7 linked regions of the Rattus norvegicus genome follow. The protein of the gene in region 3 binds, or shares a complex with, the protein of the main gene of each other region. Links are inferred from orthologs where the notes say so. Each region holds a gene or a part of one and is shown on either strand. Other genes may lie near its edges. The genes, in order: Med26, Med1, Med7, Med4, Med13, Med12 and Med13l.

Region 1 (4,023 bases), on a different chromosome or scaffold from region 3:
TGTCCCCGTTTTGTATTTTTTCCATGAACATCCTAAATATGTGTCAATTACCAAGTGGTGGAGCTCATAACTGGGCAGATCAGAGCAAGAGCAGAGATCCCTGCACCAACATGCGGCTCTTACCTGGGCCCTGAACAATCACAGAGACAATGCAAATGGCCGGGCACCCCTCAGCAAGAAATGGAGGACAGTGCTCCAGGCTGATTCTACAAAGAGATTCTGCAAAGCTAGCCCCTAGAACATATACCTAGTTGTTTTTGTGGATAGTCACTGACACATTGCATCTAGGGAAACACTCCCCTCCTCACTCAGAGATAAGTTCTCAACTCCAGCCACAACAAGGTCTCCTATCACTACAGCCCTTTGAGATACACACTCCAAGCAACTTACTCACAGGCCAATGAGCACTTAGGACCAAGGGAAGATTCAAGAAACTAAAGTTGGAGGCCAAGCATGGTGGCACATACCTTTAATCCCAGCATTTGGGATTAAAGCAGGTAAAAGCAGACAGGTTCTGTGAGGACACCCTGGTTTACATACATAGTGACTTCCAGAGACAGTCTCAGAAAAAAGACACAAACTAAAATTTGGGCCCTCTATCTTCCTTCTTCTATCCCCAAAGGGTCTTTTAGTCAGACCCTTACCTAGCACTTGGACCCCACCTGATCTACAACATCATGACTACCTGTCAAAGCACTTGCTGATCCCAACACTCTCACATGCAAGCAGTCAGGATCTCTGAGAAGATCTCAGCAAGGAGTTACACAGGTGTAAGATTTACAATGTGGAAGAGAGGAGCAGTGATAGTGCAAGCATTTAATCCCAGCACTCAGAAGGAAAAGGCAGGAGAATCTCTGAGGCCAGCAGCATGGTCAAAGAGCAAGTTCTAGGATAGCCAGACCTACACAGAAGAGGAACCCTTCTCGAAAAACAACATCAAAAAGATTACACTATACACTATAGCTTCAGCAAAGATGCAAAAGCCATCAAGGCTATGTTTTCCTATCACTTATTTTTACCTTTTAATATCCTAATATATCAATCATGTGATTAGTCAGCTATTACCAATCACTGGCAAAAAACAAAACAAAACAAAAAACCCTTAAACCCGCCCCCCAAAAAAGAAAGGTTTTCTAGAAGATTTTTATCTAGCCTGTCTCTATTCCACCACAAAAAAAAAAAAAAAGTCTACAATATTTACTAAATTACTATCGACGTGATCCTAAAGACTAGGAAGAGAATAATTTTGAATCTGGCAAGTAGATTCTCATAGAAACTAGAACATCTCTATTTCTACCAAGACCACACAAACAATGTGAATTATTCTGAACACACAATACAGCACATTGCTACAAGTAACTAGCCAAGCATAGGCAAGGGAACCCAAAAAGGTTCAAACCTCTGTTACCTGGTCCAAGATGATTTTTTTTCTTCCATCCTGGGCATATTAAAAAGTGATCTCAAAAGCCACTTCCTGGTTTCCCAGCAAACACTTCATATCTGAATGCCTGTGCATCTTCCCATGGCCCTACTCCTGACAGCAACAAGGACACCCGCCCCCTGCACTGCCAACAAACCTTTGGAAAAAATACAAGAACAAGTAAAATTAGTCTACACTCACACAGGAAGAAAAAAGGCGTCCTACTGCTCACAGGACTCTTGACAGAGGAAAGTGTGATCCCTTACAATTAAATCTTGACAGCCTAGAGTCCAAAGCACCTCAGGTGGAGCAAGAGAGATGGAAAGAGGACCGGAAGATAGGGATAAGAGAACAATCTACTGTGATCGGCAGTATTTCAGTACTAAAATCCCAGGCTTTAGCTACTGGTCAGACGCGCAATGGAGCATTTAGGCCAAGAGAGGTGACAGGAAGGGTCCCACTCTCTGCAGAGTCGTCTTTTCTAGGAAGCGACCCACTATCAGAAGAGAGGATACTCTCCAGGCATCACAGGAAGACAGACTGATGGCAGAACAGGCCTAGGGTTCCCTACGAATCCAAGAAGGGGATTCGCTAGAAGACCGAGGGGGAGTAAAGGCCAAGACTCCAGAGACGCGGGCTACCCGAGTCATCGCGGAGACACCAGTTGCTTTCTACCTTGTCCCCCGGCAGGGAGACCTTTCCGGGGGGTTCTCAGTTCCCGGGGTTGGGGTGAGGCAAGAAGGGCACGGTGGGGAGCACCAAGGGCAGCCGGGCTGGGACAACCGAGGAGAACCAGCTCTCATCAAAGCTCCGAACGATCCCTCAGTCCAGGCCGCGTGAAGCCTCGGCCTCAGGTACCCTCAGCTGCCGGGGTACCCGCCTTGCCTTCGGCCTCCGGACCCAGGAGAACGAGACACCGAGATGGCAGCGGCCGTGGCGGGCAGATCACCGCCCGGAGAGAACCCCTGGCAGGGGCGCGTCGGAGGGGGAGGGTCCCGACACATGCGGCCTCGGTCCCCGATCGCGCGGCAGTCACTTACGTTGCTCTGGGAGTCGATGGCCTGTAGCAGCCGGTCCCTCATCTGCTGCGGAGACGCCGGAGCCGCTGTCATTGCCTGGGCGAAGCGGGGGGGAGCGGCCGGGCCGGCGGGCGGGCAGGCTGAGGAGGGGGGACGCAGGTCAGTCACTCGCCGGCCTCCGGGAACGGAGCCGCATGTTCCCCGCGGCGCCAGAGGAGGTCGAGGCGCTCGGGGAGATGGCGGAGGACGGAGGAAAGCGGAGGGGACCGGAGCTCAGGCCCCGGACCGCCGCCGCCACCGCCGAGCAAGGAGGAGGAGGAGCCGACGGAGAAGCCTCCGCCACTACCGCCGCCGCCGCCGCCTCGAGAACCAAACTCCAGTGAGCTGCCCCCGCGCTGAGCACTCTGGGTAACCCGCGCCGCACGCAGCGTCGGCGCCACGCTGAGGAGGTTGGGAGATGGGGGCGGGTGGAGACGCCGGGTTTGGGAGGGGCCGGCTTGTGAGCCCCGCCCATTGATTCTGCGCACGCGCACGCATGCGCACTTATCAGGTCCTGCCGCCGGGTTCTAAGGCCGGATCCAGAGAGCCGTTGGGAGACGGTTGGGCGTGGCAACGGACGCTATCCGAAGGTCACGCCCACTCCGGACTAGGGGGCGGGGCTTCCTAACGGAAGCTCACATGCCAAGTCCTGGAACACCGGCTCTTCCTGCTAACTGCTTTGGGGTTGCGGAATGGTAAGACCCTCCACCGGATGAGGACCTCTAGCTTTGAGGAATCAGAGGATTGGAGCGGCCATAGGGACACTAAGAAGGGCAGCGGTTGTCTGCGTTGAGACCCGTGCGGCGAGTAGCTCGGAGAATCTAGGCGCAGCCGTCGCCGCTGCAGAGGCCCCAGGCGCGGATCTGCAGGGCAGTGAGTGTCCCCATGTGACCCGCGCGCTGCTGGGACCTAAGGGCACGTATGGGAGCTGCCGCCTCCGCCGAGGGCTCGAGTCTGCAAGGCATGCGCGACGCTGACACCTTGGCTGTGCATCCACGAGGGGCTGGAACTCAAGAAGAAGCACCGCTCTTTTTTTTTTTTTTTTAATTCTTTTTTTCGGAGCTGGGGACCGAACCCAGGGCCTTGCGTTGAAGCACCGCTCTTGTAGCCCTCCTGAGAGGCGAACTGGAGGTGGCCAGTCTTTGTCTGCACAACAGGATGCGGAACCATCGCTCAGCATCGTCCCCTCCGCATTCGGAGCGGACGGAACGATCCCTGCTTTGCACCCCAGCCACTGGAAAACAGGAACGCCTCACCGAGGAGGAAGGGAAGCGCCAAGGTCACCGTGAGTTTTAGGTCAAACCAAGAAACGAAGGATATCAAGTATAAGGGCTGTGGTCTCCGGCAGGTGGAGTGGGAGGGCGGGCTCCGAGTTTAGCGCACTGTATTACAGTGGCTTCGGGAGAAATAACTTTCGTTTTGTGTCGTAACCTTAAAAATCCAGACATGAAACGGAAGGGAAACAGGTAATGAAAATCACATGTACTCCTGAGAGCTGCGGGACACCTGTTAATTTTAATTTGTTATACTTCTAGGGAGTGCTGG
Region 2 (3,500 bases), about 52 Mb from region 3:
GTGCTATGGCCAGTTCACACCCGTGCTTACACATACGCAGATAACAAACACAGTCTGGTGTGGTTTCTAGTAGCATTTTAAATATTTGTTTTACATATGTGGGTGGTTTGCTAGCATGTATATATATATGTACCACATGTGTGCCTGGTGCCTGTGGAAACCAGAAGAGGGCATCACATCCCCTGGAACTGGAGTTAGATATGTTTGTGAACTTCTGTATGGACGCTGAGAATCTAACTTGAGTCCTCTGGGAAAGGAGCAAGTACTCTTTTTTTTTTTTTTTTTTTTTTTTTTGGGATCTTTTTTTCGGAGCTGGGGACCGAACCCAGGGCCTTGCGCTTCCTAGGTAAGCTCTCTACCACTGAGCTAAATCCCCAGCCCCGAGCAAGTACTCTTAAGCACCGAGCTATTTCACCCTGGGTTTTTATTGTTGCTGTTTGTTTTAAGACAGGCTCTTCTTATGCAGGCCAGGCTGGTCTTGACATCACAAAGGTCTGACTACTTCTGACTCCTCCGAGTGTTGGATTAAAAGGAGCATGTCACCATGCCTGGCATAAAAATAAAATTTAAAGCTATTTTCTAAGTTGGACACAGTGTGTACGTGTAGTGACAGTGACTTTGGAGTCTAGGGCGGGGGATTGTTGGGTCCGAAGACTCCAAGGCCAACATAATGGACAGCTTAGTAAGATTCTGTCTCAGGAAATCTCTGTGTTGTATACACATTTGAGACAGTATTCCTCTGTAGCTCAGGCTAGCCTTGAATTTACAAACCACCTGCCTTAGTATCTCCAGTACAGGGATAAAAAGTATGGGTGGTCATCTTACTAGGCAGCTTTCTGTATGTTTTGGAGTAAATTATATAAAAAATACTTGGACAGTTGTAAGTGAAATACAGGGTTTCTTTTGCAGGAGAAATGGTGGAAGGTCTTGGTATCAGAGTGGCTGCTGATGTTTTCTGCTTTACGTTGTAGAGTCAGAGAAGCTGAGTAAGATGAGTTCTCTCTTGGACCGGCTCCATGCAAAATTTAACCAAAGTAGACCTTGGAGTGAGACCATTAAGCTTGTGCGTCAAGTCATGGTGAGTATTGTGGCTCAGTGGGTAAGGTACTAAGAACTACCTAAGGAACTGGCCTCTCCCCCGTAAGGGTTGCTAGTTCCAATGTTGTGTCCTTGCTTTTGCTCACCACGACAACATGGTGGTGCTGATTTCAGAGGCCAGCTGAGGAAGGAAGTGCCTTAGGAAGGAGGTAGCTTAAATTCCCATATCCTCAGAGGTTTCATTCTAGGACTTCTCCCAGATCAGAGGCAAGCAGGTGTCTGAGTTGAAGGCTAGCCTTGTTTACAGAGTGAGTTCCACGAAAGCGTGGGCTACACAGAGAAACTCTACCTCAAAACAAACCAACAAAAAGGTACTGTCTTTGCACACTATTTATAAACATTCTCCTGTATACTTTAAGCTGATATCTACATTACTTAAAATGCTTAGCAATACAAATAGCTTGTGAGTATTTGTTATGCTATGGTGTTCACTGTCAGTACAGAACAGTATTTTTCTTTTTTTTTCTTTTTTCTTTTTTTTTTTTTTAAGATTTATTTATTCATTTATTATATATAAGTACACTGTAGCTGTCTTCAGACACACCAGAAGAGGGCATCAGATCTCCTTACAGATGGTTGTGAGCCACCATGTGGTTGCTGGGAATTGAACTCAGGACCTCTGGAAGAGCAGTCGGGTGCTCTTAACCGCTGAGCCATCTCTCCAGCCCAAGAACAGTATTTTTCTATTAGAGAAGCGGTCTTTGGTATCCTTCTCTGGCCTTCAACTTGATTTGGTGAAGCAGTTGGGCACGCTGGCATTGAATTTGTTCTGTCGTTCAGGTAGGCTTTGCGCACCATTCTTCTGCTGCAGCCTCCCAGGTGACCTATATCATATGGTCCTTTTCAGTCAGGGACTTCTGTGTAGCGTAGGTTGGCCTTGAATTTGCTGTAGATCTGAGGCAGTCCTCCTGCTGTAGTTTCCCAGGTGCCGAGATGACAGCTGTGTACCCTGCTCTCTTCAGGTTCTCTTTGGTCTGTTTGAAATAGGGTCACATTGTGTCTTTTGGGGTTGCTGTTTTGTGTTTGCTTTTCTTACCTCTTGTTTGGTACCCATCCACTGCTGGTGTCTTTCTCTGTGGTACTTCTTCCCTGAGTGGGCCCCAGTGCAGTGTTACTTGAACGACTTAAGCAGAGGTGGAGCACTGGGGAAGCATGCTGGCTGTATGCTAAGTATTCATTCCCACCACTCAGCCACAGTCAAAGGACAGGGATTCACTTGTGTTTTAGCTTTCCTATGTATAAATTACACTTTAATGAGAATATTTCATCCTCCCTATAGTTTACTTTAATTCCAGGGTAAGTCTACTTCAACATCTTTATTACCCTTTATCTGGCCAATCATCAGAATATTGGTAGTGTAAGAATAAATTTGTTAATAAGGTCTGAGCCAAGGGGTGTAATTAATTCAGTGGGAAAGCGTTTGCTTAGCATGTATAAGACGCAGTCATTCTCTAGCAACAGAGGAAAAATAAAACAAAAACAAAAACCCTGTACTTTAGACTCCTTGGCAGTGCTGCTGTGTGACTTTGAACAACTTATGTAATTGTAATCTCTGAATTTGTTTCCTCATGGGAGCAGATGATGCTAGTTTGCTTATCTAAGACGTTTGTTTTTGTTTTGATTATGTGTGTGGGTGTTTTTCTGCATGCATGCCTTTGTACCCTGTGTGTTCCTGGTGTCCATTCAGTCATCAGATCCTTGGAACTTGAGTTACACCTGGTTGTGAGCCACTTTGTGAGTGCTGAGAATCGGTTCTGAGTCCTCTGTGAGACCAACCAGTTCTCTACTGCCGAGCATCTCTCCAGCTCCTTTTCCAAATGGTTTTGGTAAATAATGGAGATAAACAATGGAGGGTGACCTTGAAATGACCTTTATTGCCGTATCCCCCCCCACCTCGGAGTGCTGAGGGTTCAGGTCAAGGCTGCTGACTGATCACTGTCTTGCTGGAGATTGAAGTCAGGCCTTTATGCATGCTGGGCCATTGTCCTGCATTCTGAAACTCTGGATTCTAGCCATAAATGCATGTGCATCATCTTTTAGATTTCAGACAAAAAAAGTGTTTTTAGTTTTTTCTTTTTGTTGTTCCATAGTTTGCTGTTTTGAGGCAAGGTCTCATATATCCCAGACTGTTTCCAACTGTATAATTCTCCTGCCCTGGTCTCCTGAGTGCTGGCATTTGAAGCTTGTGTCACTTTTTCTTCCATTACATTTTTTTTTTTTCTTTTTTTCGGAGCTGGGGACCGAACCCAGGGCCTTGCGCTTGCTAGGCAAGTGCTCTACCGCTGAGCTAAATCCCCAACCCCCCCATTACATTTTTTAAAGTACATTTACTTTTTTTTTTTTTTTGGGTTCTTTTTTTCGGAGCTGGGGACAGAACCCAGGGCCTTGCGCTTCCTAGGCAA
Region 3 (4,204 bases):
AGCCTGATCAACACAAGTACAATGTTCAGTACAAGTTCGTTGTGGGTTCAGACCATATTATCTTCAAGCTTCCTGATGGGAAGTATAAAAATTGAGAACTTGTTGGCCAGCAAAGACAACAGGTGTGCTAATTTCACCCTAGGGAGACAGGTAATCCTGGCAAAGGAGGAAGAAGTGAAGAGAAAAATAAGGCAAAGCTATGGCTTTATGAAGATCTGATTAGTCCCTTGTTAGACTAATGGGATAGAGCAGGGAAGGTGCAGAAAGTTGCACACAAAGATGGCCTTCCAAAAAGGTCTGCCCTCTGTCTACTTTGTGATAGCATGAGTTATGGTTCCAACATTCAAGTATAAATTCCCATTGTACAATTTCTGCAACTGACAGTGGACAATGGCAGGCTCCTTTTTACTGTAGAATCACCACTTACACATACTTAGTCACGGACTCCCAGGTACCATGTCTTCTTTACAATACCTGCTCTGGTCCTACGGCCTGCTGTGTCCTGGCTCTTAACTCTATTCACCCAAGACTACAGGTTGTTGCTTAACTGAATCAGGCTTTAAAATGCTGAATCGCCATGTTCACTGCAGTGAGGATAACAGAAGTGAGAACCATGAGACATGTCTAGTGTCTAACTACACACCCAAGTCGAGGTGTGCAAACCTTGTCTATGAAGGAAATTCTGAGAACACGGAACAGCCTCACTTGGAAATCCTACGATTATTTTTAATCTCTTCGAGCCCTTCTCACCTGTTAAAGAGCACTCATATGATCGTTCAGTAAGATCTGTTCTGCTTGTTTAAAAAATGATGTTAGCATTAAGGACTCACACATTGTAGATAACCTGACAAATGTAAATAAAGCATTCAAAGTGGGAAAACAAGCAGCAGAGTCCACTGCGGGTTTGCAGAGGACTTTATTTACTGTTATTTTTAAACAATTTTTTAAACTGCCCTAAGCATGATGGTTGTTGAGTCCTAATGATTGAGAAGCATGATAGCTGTGAGTTCAAGGCCCATTTGAACTACATGGGCCAGCCTGTGCTAAAGATCCATCTTTAAAAACCAAGAAAATATTTTAAAAATATATAAAATTGGGAGTAAGATATGGTAGTGGTCTGCAAGATATTAGACGAGTGAGGAAGCAAGCATGATCAAAACACACATGTTTGTGTGTGTGTATAAAATTCTCAAAGAACAAACATATATTCTGAAAACTAAGAGAAAAGGGTCTGTATTGGGGGGCTTATACATGGTATATGATATACTTCTTTTTCATGCCTGACTCCTTTTGGTAGGCATACGTTGAAACCTACTCTGGGAAAGAACAGTTATATACAAAGTCATATGCCTTATTTATTTCTCTTTTCCATAATCAAACTACATATGGTGTCTATCAATCTCACTTTGCTTTCTACTGTACAGTGATTTCCAAAACCAAACACTTAAGATTCTCTATACGTCTTGACAAAAATCACTTGTTAAATTTCATACTTCTAGAATTTTCCAAGGTTTCTGAGGGAAGCCTCATCTTACAAACATCTTATAGTACAGTTTTATTGACAATTGGCATTTTAACATCTTTTCTACATAAATTTAACACCTAAGTCCCAACACTGCAACATATATGGTCAAAATACCCTCTGCTTTTCCAATTTGAGTTTAAGTACATTATACAATGAGAAGATTCTTGAGCGCTTTTTCACACTGAGATTCAAGGTAACAGGGGAAAGTAACATACAGGTTCCGTACACCTGGAATACATTAAATCTGAGGGAAGTCACTTCAAATTCTTCAGGTCGTCCAACTCAACTATTTCAGGGTATATATACCTAAGATACTAGTGTCTATTTGCAGTCACATCAAGTCAACACCCAGCCTAAATTTCGTCCCCTGAGGGCTTTTGAAGATGAGATCTGCGCTTCCCTTAGCCACACCCATACTAAATTCCCATTTCCCAAAGGTTTCTAATAAGTGACCGGCATCCTCACTTCTATCTTCCTAACGGCACAACTATTCCCAATTTGATTTTAGAAACAAGAAGCCAGTTTCCAATGTGCAGAAGTGGGTAAAATGTATAACGGGAATTTGTACTCCGTTTTTGTTTTGTTTTGTTTGGCTGTTTCGTTTTGTTGCGCGGAAGTGCAAACCCCGATAACTCAAGCATCCCGTTTTAGAGCCTGCCACCTTACAAAAACCGCCCTCACCGGTTTAAACTGAACTTTTCAGAGCCGCTGGATGTCCTCACTTGCTAACACTAACAAAATTCAGTTTCTAGCATTTGCTTGGGGGGCGGGGGGGGGGAGTGGTCGCAAGCTCAGACACTTGGCTCACTTGGTCCCTGTCCCTCGTAAAGTCTGGTACAGGATAAGATCCGCCCGAGGCTCTCCCTCCCCTCCCCCAGCCTCCGCGCTCCCAGGTGGCTACTATCATTTTACTAATGCCGACAGGGCAGGCTAAGGCCACGACACTTTAAAAGCCCGTGGCGTGGGGACGAGAACTCGGACCTCCCAACCTCCGGTCCGGCTCGTCGTCCGGTCCGCGAGACGCCCGGAGCGAGCCGCACTCCGCGCACCTTCGGCCAGCCGCCTGCCTCAGGCCCCGGGGAGGCTCCGCTGAGGGACGTGGGAGGAAGGCGAGCCCGGGCTTCCCAGGTTGTCCCGCGCCGGACCTCGGCGTGGCGCCGGGAAAGACGCAACCGCGGGGGCGGAGAGACAGACTCTGGCTGCGGTCGCCAAACGCCGCGCCGGCTCACCTCAGCTCTAGCTTTTCCCGTAGCGACTTTTTCCTCAGCGCAGCGGAAGCACAAGTTCCGGTTGCCTTCTCAGGAAGAAGCCTCTGACGCGGGCCTTTAATTGGCTACGAAGCCTGTCCTATAGCAGGTCCTACTCCCGCCCTAAAGATACTGCGCATGCGCACTCCCGCGTCTCCCGCTTCTCCCGGGAAAAGATCTCTTGTCTATCTTCTTGGTCAGGTCAGGAGAGTGTTTCTTCATACTTCTTGTTAGTAAAAGAAAGTACTCTCTAGTAATTCGACTCCTCGCCGCCCACCCCCTTTATATAAGACTCTTAAAATTAAATATTTGCCTTATATAAGTCAGAAAATACAGATAAGCAATATTTAAAAATATCAATGCTAACCTTATCATCAAAAAAAATTTTTTTAAAGCAAGTTGTACTCCATGATATATTCATACATACATGGGGATATTTGGGAACATGATTAAGACTAACATCCTACACCTTCATTTTCCCCCTTCCGTTCACTTTTATTTTCATTTAGGAATTCAAAGATGTATATGACAATTCTTCCACAAACCGACAAGTAAAAAAAAAAATTAATGTAATTTTTAAAATTAGAAGGAGTGGGCAATTTCACTGTGTAGCCCAGGCTACACATGGTTTCAAATGTCTCTTCCGAGCCTCAGGAAAGCCAGAGGTTCAGAAATGAGCCATCAGGACCAGCAAGAAAACTTTCCATTTAGGCCTTCCCCCACCACACATATAAAAGAATTGTTAACAGATGTCCTAACTCATGGGAGTCTTAAGAACGCTTGTTGCAAATTAAAAGTGAGATAAGACTGTTCTGCTAAAACAGCTCTGCTTCAGAGACAAGAATGTCCCAGTTTCTTCCTTTAAATATGTGAAGAATTGCAGGCATAAAAGCGAAAGAACAGTCTACTCATCACCAACTTCCACAGCTATATGCTCCCCATCAGTTCGCCTCTAGTCCAGTATGAGCCTCTCAAAGGTAAGGGCTCTTCGCTTTTTCCCATGCCCATAGCATTACTATCTTACTGAAAGTGTACCAGGGGTTGTTACACTGATCAAATGAGTGTGTGTTCACACATGGATATATATGTCATATAACTTATTAGAGTGGCTTACAAGATGCAGTTCAACTAGTCCAACAATGGCTGCCTCCAACCTGAAAGGCTGAGAATCCCGTAGCTGCTCAGTCTAAGGGGCTGGATGTCTCAGCAGACCCCACCTGGCGTTGGAGGCCTGGAGGATTTTTAGAGAGCTGCTGCTCTTCAGTCTGTGTTGGAATCCCAAAAAAGTTTGGATCTAATACTGGCAAAGGAATGACACAGCAGTGGGACAGATGAAGTTGCCAGTGAGAATGAGAGCAAGCAACGAAAGAGCAGTTTCCTTTCTTCTTGTCCTTTTATCTGGGCAGCTACAAGAAAATGCCATTCGGTCTTT
Region 4 (3,500 bases), on a different chromosome or scaffold from region 3:
TTGTGCAGTTCTCCTTCAGTCTCATCCCATAGCTGCTATGTACAAACCAAGCACAACAGTAATTGTGACAAACCCTCAAACACGTGTGTAACAGATGAGAACCAGCAGTTCTGGCTACAGGAAGAAAGACCACTGACTTTCCTGGGCTCCTTAGAGGTCTGTGCTTTCCATTTCCCACTTGACAGAACTCTGTGGCAGTGGAGTCTGCATGCCACCCCTTTCTCAGTCAGAGTCACTGCTGCTGCTTGAGGAATCTGTTGACATAACCTCAACGTCATCTTCATTTTCTTTGTTGTGCCCGGGAGGCTCCAACAGAAAGTCAGTGCTATGATTTGGCGGCAGCATGTTCACAGACATGTCATTTGACTGCCATGGGTACTGTGGAGCAAGGACATCTGAGGAGAAGAAGCATAAGGGATTGGTTCTACTTGTGATCCATCTACTCGATCCCCGCCCTCTATGCAAGAATCTTAATCTTATCTACCTACCCACTTACCTTACAGTACCAAGATCTAACAAGAAGGATTCGCAATACTAAACACAAATGAGCAGATTCCCAAACCCACATGTTAACACAGAAGTGATAGCTTCAGAAAGCACAGTCCCCCACTTATGTCCTCTCCTTAGAAAGATTCTCTCACATTAAACATGGCACCTACAAAATGAGCTTATTCTATTTGTGAGCATGCCTCAGAACTGCAAAAATGCTCTTCAGAGTGGTCACGATAAGGGAAGGCCAGGCCTGGGGAGGGTGATAGGAGATAGATGCACGTGAGGGACAGAGTGGCTTAGGTCAGTGACCTATGCACCACTGCTGGGTCTTTGGATGAAGCACAGAACAATAAACTGGTAGGGAATCTATGTAACAATATTGGTGCCCAATGCTAGACACTGCCTCACGGCCACCTCTGAATAACCCTGTCGCTTGAAAACGCCTATCCAGTTAGCATTACCTGGCAGTCTACCTGCTGCAAGGGCATCTCCCGGGAGGTGACCATTCACACCACTGGTAGAAGGATTGTTCATCTGACCCAGCAATCCACTTCTCATCTCTAAATCAGTTGGGTATGGCCGTCGAGGGTCTCCTAAAACAATAAAGACAGCTTTTAACTCAGGTTTAAAATCATGTATATATTCTTGAAGAATTAGCTGTCCTTGTTCACACTAAAGGACCGGAGCGCTTGTAAGACAGGTCTCAGCAGGTAGTCATGCTAGCCTCAAGGCTGCAGGCCTGCCCCGGCCTCTTCACAGCTGCCTACGCTATGTGCTACCACACCTTGCCTGAGGTTACCATTACTATTCTCAAGCTGGGTACGGCGGCACACAACTTTAGTCCCAGGTCTCAGGAGGCAGAGCGAGGCAGGACTCTGACTTGACCTGGTCTACAAAGTGAGTTCCAGGACGGGGAGGGCTACACAGAGAAACTGTCTCTCAATGAATAAAAGAAAGGGGGCTGGAGGAGAAAGAGACTATATTATATTAATTTTTTAAAATCATTTATTTTTCTTTTATGTGCATTGGTGTTTTGCCTCATGCATGTCTGTGTGAGGGTGTCAGAAGTCCGGGGGAACTGGAGTTACAGACAAGTGAACTGCCATGTGTGAACTTGGGATTGAACCAGGTTCTCTGCAAGAGCAGCTAGTGCTCTTTATGACTGAGCCATCTCTCTAGCTCCCAATATTAATTTTCAAAATGCACACATTTTTGTTTCTTCTCTGAATCCTCCCAGGAATATACATTCTATGTTTTGTAAAAAACATGGGGGTGGTAAAAAAAGTAGGGGTGGTGGGCACATCGCCTATAATCACACCCGTAGCCCAGCATTTGGAAGTAGAAATAGGACTGCACAGAGGCAACTCAAGGTGGAGGTGGGACAGCTCAAGGTCACCTTCAAATACATAAGATAGAACCAGACTAGGAGACATAAACCTGTCACAAAGAAACATACACAGACTAGTTTCTACACCTCTCCAGTTTTATCACAAGAACCTACTGTCATTCCCATCAAAGAGGGACACTGAATAGCAGTTTGGGATGGCACCCACACCCAAATTTGGTAATATTTCTCACCAGGAATTACCCATCCTCAGACTGCAGCCACCGTCATTGTGTTCAGCAACAACAAACACCGGTCAGGAGTGAGCAGAGCCCAGTTGGCTCTCTCCATCCTCCACGGAGGCCGCTGCTCCAGCTCTGGTTTCCCATCTCCTACTTGATCTGCAGTGCTGGGACTGCACTGTATTATCTTTGCTGTCCCTAATGCTCCCGCTCTTCCCGGCTGGTGAACTGCGCTGGGTGTTTGTTCTGTGACTGCCTCTCAGGCTGAGGCTTTGCAGGAATATAATGGCACTGAAGGACTGGCTCTGGCCAGCCTGGGTGTTACAAGTATATGAACCTATTGCTTTGAAAGTGTCCCAGATTGACCTATTAGCACTAAAAGTAAAATGGAAAAAACACTTCCCATCACTGCTTGGTAAAAACAATGTAACAGGAATTAGTTACAGTATCCTTCTGTGTTCTACACAGGCACTTAGAATGCTACAGATGCACCTCAGGACGCTTAACCTGCATTCATCTGAAAAGAAGCACTGTTACCTGGAACCCAAGTCAGTGGAGCACATACAGCATTGCTGGCACTGATCCTGTGTGCGTACTTAATGATTTCTTCAGAGGAGATAGCGCCTGAGTTGAGAAAACAGAACAGGACAGACCATTAAACACAAGCTTAGAAGAGCACACGTCACAGTCACACACCACACTTAACTATCAGGCTCATCTCAGCCATCTATCCTCCCAAACACCTTCATGTACACCAAAACTGTTACACATATATGTCTAACTAAAGAACCAAGGCACCCACTCGGCGAGGTCAGCTACCATAAATCTAAGGCCAGCATGATAATGCTCAGTAATCTCCATTACTGGCCGACGGCAAATGCAGAGCTCTTCTGAATGTCACAGTGAGGAACAGTAAACCAAGGGGAGAGCTTTTCGTTCCAGCAACATCCAAGCGGCTAACCAAACAGTCCACATCCTCTGTGACCACAAAGGAAGAGGCTCTACATGGACTGTGCACCAAACAGAAACAGCAGTTACCTCTGAGGAATGGGAAGATTTGTACTCTATGAACTCTAGACCTGTTTCAAAAAGCACTATGGATTCCTACCCAGTCCTGATTGATGGACTCAGCCACCTCTCCTACAGGCTTGCCTCTGCTACAGAAGCCCACCCGTCTCTCTGAGAATATTAGCCGTTTTCTTGGGTATAACAATGAGAAACAGATTCCATACCGGCAAGCAGAACAAGTCAGATAGAGAAATGGTTAACTGTAACCCAAATCCACAGAGCATTAAAGCGACAGCAGAGACTTCACTCTCGGTCTCCTGACTAGAAAGTGTAAGGCCTAAAGGCCGAGCGGCAGGCACGTGTACAGCTGATGCTGACTCCAGTGTTCCCTTCTCAGGTAGTTGTGTGGATTCCGTCATTATCTCTGCCTACAA
Region 5 (3,500 bases), about 40 Mb from region 3:
TCTGCCGGTAAACACACTCTTCCGGCAATTTGATAGGAGGCAGACAATGGCTTGGTAGAGTTTTTAAAGGTGCAAACATGGAACAACCTACTAGAACTTGACAATTTTCAGGCTTATAGACGTAAGAAAAATCCTACAATATAAAGAACGTGGACTTTCAGTGCCTTATATTCCAGGGATGAAAACAAACAGAATCAAAGCGACTGTCTTCTTTACTCTGTTCATTAAATGCACAAAGTATAAATATTTTGTTTCTATTCTTTAATGCATTTTACATAGTGTTCTCACAATTCCCTCCTTATATTAGCCACAAAACTAAAATCAACTGTGAAAAGATTCTTGAATGCAGCAATTAAGCCTATAAGAAAACACAGGGAGAAAATGACTTTTCTAGAAAAATACTTACTTTAATTTCAGAAGGTTTAGGGCTACAGAACCCTTCCTCAACCTCAATTCTGAACTGTGTTCCTACACTAGAGCTACTTCCTTCCAGCACAGTTCCTCCAGGTGTGGGGTCCATACTACCGTATTCCTTGTTATTCATGTTCATTGGAGAGAAGCCCATAATGTGCTGCTCCAGTGAAGGAGGCGTGGGGTACATTTTGTGAAGGTCTGCAGTGCCTGTGTTTAATACAACACACATGTTAACATAAACTGAAAGAAGGGAGTCTGTGTTTAAAGCAAAAGAAATTTTGGTGGGAGTAAACTTTTAAACCAAGGCAGAGTTCAGATCTGGGATGCGTACTTATGCAAGACAACGGATCCAGGCTTCCTGTCTTTGATTCTTTGGAGCTGGCTTTATCATCTGATCCACTTGCTGATTTTTTAGATCCAGGCTATGGGGAAGGGAAAAGGCATATTAATCTGAAAGCCAAAGTGATCACACAGTATTAATCGATCATTTTCTGAAACTATGACAGAGCCAAATATCATAATAGATAGTACATGTATTTGATAAGACTCTCAATTAACAGAGAAAAAGGCAACAAGAAAATACATCAAAAAAAGCAAGAATAACCAGTAACTTAAAACCAAATAAAAGATAAGAAATGTAAAATTAAGACTAGAATTCTTTTTTTAGCAAAAGATATTCAAAGGCTCTGTCCCTTAATTTAAAAGATATTAAAATTTCCTATATAATTAATAACTCTTCCTAATTTGGCTTTATATTTTCAGCTTGGTTTAATAAAATTATTCTTATAAAAATATTTTTACAGATCTAATACTGAGCATAAGCTCAGGAAGACTTCCTAACAAACCAAGTATTAGCTCTCCCACAACCAACTTTTTTTGTAGGTTGATTGTTTGTTTGAACTCCCAAGCCTCCAGCTTCCATGTCCCAAGAATGGGGATTAAAAGCATGTGCAAAATACCAATGTTTGTAGAAGGAACATTTGTTCCACATCTTACGCTGAAAGCTTTGTAAGTAAAGCACATATATGACTAATGTTTTACCTCCAAAAAGCCACAGCTGCTTTCTGTGTGTTAACAAAGACAAGAACTGTCTACCACATATTCAGAGTTCTTTCCCCAGTGAAGAGTGCCCTAGTACACACTACACTGGAGGGTAAAGAGCAAGTGTTCACATAGAGCTATAACTGACCAATATCTGTAATAGACTTATACGTTCAAACGTGTGATAGATAACCTCACAGGATATATTCTATAAGACAACAAACACCAAGTATGCCAGTCCTAAGCTACTTTTAAGTAGACGGAAAAGGAATCTGTTTTACGATACTGCAGCACCCAATTCATTACCTGCTAGACAACTGACATTCTAGAACATCCATTTAAAGTTTTTACCTTTATCTTCAACTTTCTTTGAAAACACTGCAGTAGTGCTCTGTTTCCTCCTGGACTGTTTTCAAGTCTATGTCTTGTAGTGACAGAAGTAATGGCAAACAATTTCAGAAGAACTAGCATTTTTTACTCAATTGGAAACGTGTAAAGTTCTAATGTTAATTACGTAAACATTCTAATTCAATTCCAGACTCACTTCTCAAACTACAGGGTCAAAGAACAGAAAAATCATTCTAAAGACTGAAAGAAAAAATATTACATGGTAGAGCTCAATGAAACTTGACCATGTATCTTTCAAATATATCCACATCAAGGTTCTTAAGAAACCATATTAAGATGATTCTAACATGAAAGCAAAATCAACCAATTGCGTTTTATTATAAAATATCTCCTACTGTTCAGAGCTAAAACATAGTACTAAAGTCATAAATCACTTCCAAAACTTAAACTGTTATGAAATCAATAAAATTTAATTTAATCCTAATCATTAATAGGATACTCACTGTTAATTCATCTTCATCAGAATTGAAGAGGTTATCAAGGTCAGTATAAGACACAGCCAGATCTGAGTCATAAATCAAACTGGTTGATGGAGGACGGGCATGATTAGCAGGGCGTGGAGCATCTACATGTGACAATCAGAAACAATATACTGAAAACTCAACTATTAGCCAAGTAGTATCTACTTATCTAAACAAGACAGAAAGGCTAATGTTCATAAAGACAATTCTGCAACACAAATTATTCTTATTCTCTTATTTAAAACCTGAAATTTTTTTCTCAGAAATAAAGTTATAAACAAACAATAGCTCTTCCCCAGGAAGCTGCAAAAGTTATATAATCTATTCCATAGTTAAGCTCTATATGTAAGTAATAAAAACATAAATGCCATTAGAATGGTAGATTTAAACACATACTTTTTCTTTTTGTGCGCGTGATGTGATGGAATATGTGCCGTTTCACAGGTACCTGTGCACACATTATATGCATGATGTGCAAGTCAGAGGTTGACATGGGGTATCTGCCTTAGTGGCTTCCTAACTTAAACATTTAAGTATGGTCTCTCCTTTGAACCTAGAGCTCACTGATTCAATGAGTGTACTATCCAGGTTTCTCTGTGAATTCCCTATCTCGTCTTCTTTCATACTGGAATTACAGGCAGGCCCCATCACACTTGCCTGACACTATGTGGCTACTCAGGACCCCAACTCTGACTGCTATGCCTGTCCAGCAAAAACAAGCCATCTATCCAGGTCTTATTTTTTTCATTTGGAAACAGAAGGGCTTGTTTAAATAAGGAAGGTTGCATGAGAGCATCTGAATAAAGATACAATCACAGAATATCAAGCTAATTGTGTATAATGAATAAATGTTAAGTATCTGCTAAAAAAAACCACAATATTTACAGATAATAGTGGAGTATGATTACTTGTCTAAAGGCTTGATATCATGCTTTGTTCCATTATTTTTCCTGTGTATGATTCTTAGAGGTTGGGAAGAACAGAGCAGAGGACATGAAATAGGCATCAAAATACAACTGGACAGAAGGAACAGGTTCCATTGCTTAGCACAAAGGGGGAATATACTTCAGAATTAACTATTCTGACCTATAATTAACTGTTCTGACCTATAATCATACATTAAAAAAGAAGGAAAAAAAAAAAAAAACCTAGGTAAGAAGAGCTTTAAGGCTCCTA
Region 6 (3,234 bases), on a different chromosome or scaffold from region 3:
ATTTGACTAAAATTAACCATGAAATTCATTTGTTAGTCCATCCTAGAGTACAACTGCTTTTTCTCCCCTTGAGAAAGGGTCTCATGTAGCTCAGACTGGCCTCAAACCATTATGTAGCCAAGGAAGACCTCCTCCCTGTACCTCTTGCGTGCTACCACTGCAGTTGTGCATGACATAGCAGGCTTTGTGTAGGGCTAAGGATCAGACTCGAGACATCATGCATGCTAAGTAAGCATGCTATCAAGTAAACCTTATCCTCAGTCCTGGTGTTAACTGTTTAATTCTGGATTTAGCAGTCTGTATCATATACTGTATCTATAAACCCCAGGTTCTTATCAAAGTTAGATATTTGTTTCTTCTGTCAGTTCCTCAAGGATTTCTTCCAACTCAGGTCATTTGTGGCAATACTTACATGACCAGATTAGTGTTCTTAATGCCTCCCAAAGTTCAGGCCCATTTATCACCTTCAAGTACAGGGTTTCCCAAATCAGATGCTTGCTTATACCTGCTTATACCTCAGTATCCCTTGCCAGTTCACTACTACTTTGGGTACCTTTGAGTGGAAGTCAGTCCATGCCCATAGGTTGGGGCCTGCTGATGCACATAGCCACTGGGCCGCTGTTGCAGGTGACGGGTAGGATCTACAAGAGTAGGATTGGTAGAAGGGTGGGTGCTCTGATAAGGCTGGCTGGAGTAGCTGGGGGGCACCATGGTACCTGCAGGGCCTGTGTGTTGCTGCAATCCCACATGAGAGACATAGGACGTATAGCCCTGGAGGGAAGGAGGAGAGATCTGGGGAATGAGGAAGTACAGCAACTCGCTTCCCTCTCCCTGAGGTTACTAGTCTCAGGCACTTACCTGGGAACTCTGCAAACCATAGGAAGAACTAGGAGTCATCTGATGGACAGATGACTGTCCCAACATTCCCTGACTCTGCTAAAGGGAAAAAGGAGAACTCAAGTTCAGGAAATGCTTTCTGCCATGTCTCTTTTATACCTCTGACCCTGCATGCTCCTGTGAAGGTTCCAAGTATCTCCTCAGTCCTCTGACCCACCAAAACCCCTCTCCCTGGCAGTCCTCCCTACTGCCCCTCTCACTATCTTTGCCTGGAGCTGTTGGCGAAGGCGCTGTCCCTGGGGCACTGTGGGTTGCTGCTGCCGGTACACAGAGGTCTTATAAGAAGAGGGTTCTAGGCCCATGACAGTAGTCATAGTTGTAGGCAGCACACCGGGGTAAGTTGGTCGAGTTGGCAGCTTCTGCATTGGTAATCGCACAGGGCGATATGGGTCCACACGAGGGCCACCTGGAAAGGAGAACAAATTGACCTCTCGGAGATCCTTATCCCTTCAGCCTCATTTTTTTTTTTTTAACAGTTCCAGCCATCGACATTTCCCCTGGGAAGGGAGGAATGTTCAACTCCACCAATCCTAGTGACTAGTACTTACCAGCAGGCAGTGGCTGGTTTTGGGTGTACAGGCCCATGGAGCTCTGCCTGTAGCTAAGGTGGGATATAGAACCTGGATTTGCATGGTGTAGAAGGTCTGGAGGCACTGTCACACCATAGGGACCACTCCGACCTGGCCCCATGCCATAGTCCTGTATGGGTGCAGAGGACAAAGGTAAGTGACTTACAGCAGTTCTGGGTGGGGAGGTGAGGGAGGAGGGTGTAAGGAGGAGCGGTACTGATCCAATTCACTGGATCATGATTCTAATGGCACCTCTTCCCTATGTACTGCACACCTCCCATAAAGCAGGAACTTTAGCTTCCAACTACACATGAAGTCAGGAAAAGGGCTTGGGTGGGATGGGGACTGGCCTCGCTCTTGGTGGCTGGCTGACTGCGTTTCTTGCCCTTGGTAGATTTCTTCTTGCGCTCCTCTGTGCTGGGAGGAGCAGTCCCTGGTTTGTCAGTCTTGGGGGGCTCAGGAGCCTTTTTCTCAGGCTCTAGTAGGGCAGGGGCTGGTGGCTCCTCATCTTCTGGGGGCAGAGGTAGTGGCTCCAGGTAATAGGCTCTGGGTCGAGGCCTCAGGTGGGTATGGTAGAGCAACAGTCGTTGCTGCTCCTCCCCTCGTGCCACTCGGCGGTCCACTCGGACTGTGCCAAACCAGGCCCATGATAGTGGTGCTGTTGATGGCTTCAGGCCCTCAAAAAGCTCCCAAGGAGAGATCTTTTGTTTGGTGGAAACTTGTAGACCCTGCTCCAGCAAAGGAGAAACAATGAGCCACCGAGACTTGGAAAATAGGAGGATGTCTAGAAAGGGCAAACTATCTGTTGATAAGTTTTCAAAGTATGAAAGAGTGGTAAGTAATCGGGGATGTGAGGAGAAGAGGAGAGAGACACTAACACAGAGATACATGAAGGACAGACTCTGCCTGGGCACAGTTGAACTGAAGGAGAAGAAGAGAGAGACACTAACACAGAGATACATGAAGGACACACACTCTGCCTGGGGCAGAGCTGAACTGAAGGAGAAGGGGGCAAAGGGGAAAGGGGACACCAGGAGAGAAAGAGGGTACTAAAGAGGCAGATAAGGAAACAGAGATGGAGGGGAGGAGAGAAGCTGACAGAAGATGAGGGAAAGAAAGAAGCCAGAGAGAGGGGAGGGAAAGAAGGGAGAGGAGAGAAAACGGGAAGGAGAGAAGAGGAGAGGAGAGAGAAGGAAAAATTAAAGAGGGCAAAGAGAGGCAGTCAGAGAGAAACAGGAAGAGAAAGACAGGGATAGGGACAGAGAGACGGAGAGCAGCCAGAGGAGAGAAACATGATAAGAAAGGAATTACGAGAATGTGTACACTGAGGAGCTTTGCTTTGCATTTGAACCTCTGTATCCCCCCTTCTCTCTCCGCTATGAAGAATAAATGGTTAATCAAGGAAACACTCAACCAAGTGCTTGATAGAAGGCCTGTGGCTAAGAGCCCTTGCTACTCTTGCATAGGACTCAGGTCTGTTTCCCAGAACCCACATCAGGTGGTTCACAACCACATGGAACTCCAACTCCCGGTCTCTGTGGGCACCTGCACATGGACATGGCCTACACATACCCAAGCACATAATGCTTTAAATCCAAATACTGAAACCAACATAAAAAATAATAGGAAGCTGAGCTGGGCAAGTAGAGAGACATGGAGAAAAGAGACAAGGAGCCAACAGAATGCTGGGAAATGAGAAAACAGTGGGGCAGAGAGGGGGGCAGGGCATGGAGAAAAGTCAGAGGGGACTGAGACAGGCAGAACAGTA
Region 7 (4,075 bases), on a different chromosome or scaffold from region 3:
AATAGCATCTTAACAGAAATGTGTGGCTTGAGGTCAGCAGGTCAGCAATTAGGATTTGCTTTGGACAGATTAGAAAATGAGGCATAGTTAAACTTTGTCGGGCAGGGTCACAGCTAGGCATAGCAAAGCCAGCTCCTGGCATCCTTTCTAGAGCCTTCTGAATTCAGATAGTTCCGGTGTTCAGCCACTCAGTAACTTGGGGATGCACCCGAGCTAGCTCACTAGTTTCTGAGGACTCTGCAAAGTGACCTATGTGTATGAGCCACCTTCGTTGCAGGGTTTAAGGTTTGTGGTACTTTCAAAGCTCCAATTGGTATGTAAGATTCGTCTCCCCTTTATTTCGCTCCCATCACTCTCAACAGCGTTTTATTTTTCCTTTGTTTCTTTGAGACAGTGTAGACCACGCTGGTCTGGAACTCCCAGAGATTACCTGCCTCTAAGTGCTGAGATTACAGTCATGCCCCACCACACCCCGATAATTCTACCTCTTTTCAAGTCAACTTTTTCCTTTTCTCTATTTTGGGGCCAAAAACTCCTGGAGGGCAGTCTCCTGTATCAGCACTTCTTCCAGCCCCATTACTCTGAAGAAGGAATGCTGGTTATTGACCGCTTGGAGCTGGAGGCAGGGCCTGCTCCCCACATAGCACAGTGTGAATGTGGCACCTAAGAGCGTTGGGATCATCTATGCAAGGAATGCCTGCGTGCACGCACACACAGAGTGGGCGCGAAGGGCTCCAGAAGCACGGGTGCTTTAGGAGCTCAGCGCTCCGTAGGCAGCTAGCCCGGAGCCCTGGCTTCCCGATGCCCGGGTTCGAATCCCGCGGCCCCGGGCAAGCGCCTCGCTGCCTTTGTGTCTCCGAATCCTACTCCTCCGCCCGGTGCGATACGGCCGGCGGGCGCGAGGTTCCGAGGAGACACTCCTCGGCTCGCTCCAACAGGCCCGGCCGGCCCACGCCGCGCTTCAGGCCGGAGCAGCTAATAGGGCTCGGAGGCCGCGCCGGGGAAGCCGCGGCCTCCTCGGCCCGCGACTGACGCGCGCCCGCGCCCAGGGCGGGGCGTCCACGCAGCCCCGGCGTCCCACGGCAGCCCGCACCTCTTTCTCTCCCTCCCTGGCTCCGTCCCCGCTCCGAGAGGGCCGCGCTCGGCTCAGCAGCGCCTCCCGCGAGCCACCGCCGCCGCCGCGGCCCCTCCCCCGCCCCCCGCGCGGCCGGCGCCCGTCACGTGACGCACCGCAGCCAATGGCGGGCCGAGCCGCGGTCGGCGGCCGCCATTGCTGTCAGAGCGAGCGAGCCCGGGGAGGGAGGAGAAGCGCGGCCGACTGGGGAGGAGGGGGGGGTGGGGAGGAAGAGGAAGGAGGGGACGGCGCTCGGCTGCCGGGGTCGCCCGCTGGCTTCGTCCGCACCCCCCCCTTCGCGGGCTCGCGCGGCGGCGGCGGCGGCGGCGGCTCCGGGCGGCTGCGGGGCTCGCGTGCCTCACGCGCCGGCGCGGCCGAGGGCGAGTCGCCCGCCGGCTGGAGATAAACAAGGCGGCCGACGAGGCGGCGAGGCGGAGGCGGAGGCGGCGGCCCTGCGCGACAGAGGCGGGCGGCGTTGCCGCGCCGCGCCCCCCGCTGCCGCCGCCGCCGCCCTCGGGCCTCCCGCGCGGGCCTCGCGCCCCGGTGCCCGCGAGCCGCCGCCCGGCCCGGCCCGCTCCGACATGCCCCGCTCTGGCGGCCGGGCTCGCGGAGGACCATGACCGCCGCGGCGAACTGGGTGGCGAACGGGGCGAGCCTGGAGGATTGTCACTCTAACCTCTTCTCGCTGGTGAGTGGCGGGGCGGGGGCCCGGGTGGGGGGCGCGACCTCCCCGCCGCGCAACTTTCTCCTCCCGGAGCCCTGGCGGCGTCGGCGAGCGCGGCGCCCGGCGTGGACGTGCGTGTGGAAGTCGGGGCGCTGCGGACGCCGGGGCGCGCTCGGAGCGCCCACCTCCGTGGCAATCACACCCCTCCCCTCCCCTTCCCCCTCTTTTTTCTTTCTTTTTTTTTTTTCCTCCTCCTTCCCGAAATGTGGAAGGCTTCTCCGCCTTGTGCAGCCGCCGGCGCCGGTGATCTGCAGGCTCGCCCTCTCTCTCCCGATCGGATCGGCCGCTCGCCCGTGTCTGCTTTCTGAATTTTTCTTTCTTTCTACCTCCCTCTCTCTCTTTTTAAATTCCACAATGACACCTGCGATTTCGCCCGAAAACAGTTGATGGAAGGCGATGGTGTCAGGCAAAGGACTCTGGCAGCTGGAGCTCGCGCGGTTGTAAACACGGACAGCCGCCCGCCTCTCGAGGCTTACTATGCCGGAGAGCGGGAGAGCCGTTGCTCGGAGCCCACGGAAGGTGGAGGAAGCTGGTGCTCCTCGCTCTCCTCCGCTGCCTTTAAAAACTGTTTTCTCTGCCTTAACAAGGAACACACACACACACACACACACACACACAGACACACACACGCGCGCGCGAGCAACAAGCTGGGCGGTTTGATAACATCGCTTTTATCTGCCTTCGCCTCGCCTCTCCCGCTCTCGCCTCTGATAATTGACAACTTTTGCTTTGGAAGTGCATCGCCTGCCTTAATCTCGAACCATTTAGGGTGTCAATTGTTCTTCTGGAAGCCTGGCACCGGGTGGCGGCGGCTCGATTCATCGAAATTAAAAATGTATAGGGCTCCAGCAACTCTTTCCTGGCGGTGGCAGTGACATTTGGTGGTAAATGCCATCTTTGCTTTTTATTGGGTCGTATTACCTAGCTCTGAAAACATTCGCGTTGTTAAACCTGGCGCTTAGACTGATAATGGGAGTGCGTGGTCTTTAAATACGCGCTTTGTGCCTGAGTTACTGTATGTGGAGCTCTGTGCCCCGGAGAGTAAGAATTTGTTTAAATATTGAGCAAAGATTTGTAAACAGATGTAAGGCAATTATGTTTCAAGTGTAGAATATAATTGGAAAATTGGTTGAACGGCCTATTTAATTTAGCCTTAAAAACTGAACTTATTTTAAGTTGTGTGCCCAATTTTGGTGGGGGAGCGTTATGGGTGCTGCCTTTTGGAAAGCATGCGTTTATTGCAAATTATTTTCTGGAACCCCTGCTGTAGATAGAAGCTTTTTTTCCTTAGTCCCTGTTTACACTGGATAAATAATTTAGTGTTCAAATTGTAATTAGTTACATTTAATTATGGGTGGCATAGATGTTTTTTCTCCCCTTGGAGATTAGTGGAGAAATACGAATTGTTGCCAACTTTGGAAGTGTCATTCTGTTTTCATGCCGATAAAGAAATCAAGCATGATTTTGGCCTACAAAGACTGAGTGACACAGTACCCCTGCTTCCACTCTTGTAAGCAGACTGATTGCAGGTCACCCCGAATTTTATCCAGAGGCTGAGTTTCAAGATTCAGTTAGCAGTTGGGGTTCTTCCTTTTACTACTGTGGGAATTTACTCTTGATCTTTTGATGTGAGATAAAACTACTTCTGCCTCTTTTTTCACCCCTCCACCCCCACTTCCCCTGTTTGTCATTTAGTATTAGATTCAGGGACCTTCATAGATCAGCAAATGTATTGACTAGCAGGGTATTCCCCCCCCCCCCCCCCAATTTGTCGACTGGGCGATCACAATGACACTTTTACAGGTAATTAAAATAACCAAGTCAGCCACGTTAGTTGGCCACATTACTGTCATCACGCTGAGCAGCAGTGCTGTGTGCATGTGGCTAATTTATATACAATGTGTTGTGCGGGCAAATGCAAGCCTGCCCGGCTGAACAGCCCAACTCTAGGATCCTTCCTCATTTCTCTCAGCTTCAGCGAGTGAGGGGGTAGAGAAGAGATTCTTTGTTGAAGATTCTGAACTTTGATTTTGACTGCATTCTGGGTATTTCTCCCCTAACATATTTAAACCAAAAAGTTGACTTTGGAATATAAAGTACAATTAACTTTTTGGGTGACTAATTTTGGAATGCAGAAATTGGTTTAGATTTAGATTGGTTTAAAAATGTAGACTGTTTATATGGAGGTGGATAAATGGTGTTTAATTTTTAAGAACTTTATCTTTATTTTATAAGCA

Evidence for each region.
Region 1: Med7 (region 3) and Med26 share a complex: the UniProt entries of both Homo sapiens proteins name them as parts of the mediator complex. The link is inferred for Rattus norvegicus from reciprocal best matches to the Homo sapiens genes MED7 and MED26.
Region 2: Med7 (region 3) and Med1 share a complex: the UniProt entries of both Homo sapiens proteins name them as parts of the mediator complex. The link is inferred for Rattus norvegicus from reciprocal best matches to the Homo sapiens genes MED7 and MED1.
Region 4: Med7 (region 3) and Med4 share a complex: the UniProt entries of both Homo sapiens proteins name them as parts of the mediator complex. The link is inferred for Rattus norvegicus from reciprocal best matches to the Homo sapiens genes MED7 and MED4.
Region 5: Med7 (region 3) and Med13 share a complex: the UniProt entries of both Homo sapiens proteins name them as parts of the mediator complex. The link is inferred for Rattus norvegicus from reciprocal best matches to the Homo sapiens genes MED7 and MED13.
Region 6: Med7 (region 3) and Med12 share a complex: the UniProt entries of both Homo sapiens proteins name them as parts of the mediator complex. The link is inferred for Rattus norvegicus from reciprocal best matches to the Homo sapiens genes MED7 and MED12.
Region 7: Med7 (region 3) and Med13l share a complex: the UniProt entries of both Homo sapiens proteins name them as parts of the mediator complex. The link is inferred for Rattus norvegicus from reciprocal best matches to the Homo sapiens genes MED7 and MED13L.

What each region holds. Positions count from the first base shown.
Region 1 is NC_086034.1:17,332,547-17,336,569, reverse strand, and holds the start of Med26 (mediator of RNA polymerase II transcription subunit 26), read right to left. Parts: upstream 2,801-4,023; 5' UTR 2,533-2,800; coding exon 2,461-2,532; intron 2,437-2,460; exon of another isoform or gene 1-2,436. UniProt on the Homo sapiens protein: Component of the Mediator complex, a coactivator involved in the regulated transcription of nearly all RNA polymerase II-dependent genes.
Region 2 is NC_086028.1:83,679,046-83,682,545, reverse strand, and holds part of Med1 (mediator of RNA polymerase II transcription subunit 1), read left to right. Parts: intron 1-971; coding exon 972-1,078; intron 1,079-3,500. UniProt on the Homo sapiens protein: Component of the Mediator complex, a coactivator involved in the regulated transcription of nearly all RNA polymerase II-dependent genes.
Region 3 is NC_086028.1:31,353,633-31,357,836, reverse strand, and holds the start of Med7 (mediator of RNA polymerase II transcription subunit 7), read right to left. Parts: upstream 2,801-4,204; 5' UTR 2,755-2,800; exon of another isoform or gene 2,207-2,754; intron 157-2,206; 5' UTR 1-156. UniProt on the Homo sapiens protein: Component of the Mediator complex, a coactivator involved in the regulated transcription of nearly all RNA polymerase II-dependent genes.
Region 4 is NC_086033.1:55,112,579-55,116,078, reverse strand, and holds part of Med4 (mediator of RNA polymerase II transcription subunit 4), read right to left. Parts: intron 2,683-3,500; coding exon 2,596-2,682; intron 1,086-2,595; coding exon 954-1,085; intron 396-953; coding exon 223-395; 3' UTR 1-222. UniProt on the Homo sapiens protein: Component of the Mediator complex, a coactivator involved in the regulated transcription of nearly all RNA polymerase II-dependent genes.
Region 5 is NC_086028.1:71,618,402-71,621,901, forward strand, and holds part of Med13 (mediator of RNA polymerase II transcription subunit 13), read right to left. Parts: intron 2,429-3,500; coding exon 2,307-2,428; intron 837-2,306; coding exon 746-836; intron 622-745; coding exon 407-621; intron 134-406; coding exon 1-133. UniProt on the Homo sapiens protein: Component of the Mediator complex, a coactivator involved in the regulated transcription of nearly all RNA polymerase II-dependent genes.
Region 6 is NC_086039.1:70,461,810-70,465,043, reverse strand, and holds part of Med12 (mediator of RNA polymerase II transcription subunit 12), read right to left. Parts: intron 2,195-3,234; coding exon 1,817-2,194; intron 1,597-1,816; coding exon 1,446-1,596; intron 1,304-1,445; coding exon 1,098-1,303; intron 937-1,097; coding exon 859-936; intron 772-858; coding exon 554-771; intron 1-553. UniProt on the Homo sapiens protein: Component of the Mediator complex, a coactivator involved in the regulated transcription of nearly all RNA polymerase II-dependent genes.
Region 7 is NC_086030.1:43,663,020-43,667,094, reverse strand, and holds the start of Med13l (mediator of RNA polymerase II transcription subunit 13-like), read left to right. Parts: upstream 1-1,275; 5' UTR 1,276-1,730; coding exon 1,731-1,802; intron 1,803-1,832; exon of another isoform or gene 1,833-2,722; intron 2,723-4,075. UniProt on the Homo sapiens protein: Component of the Mediator complex, a coactivator involved in the regulated transcription of nearly all RNA polymerase II-dependent genes.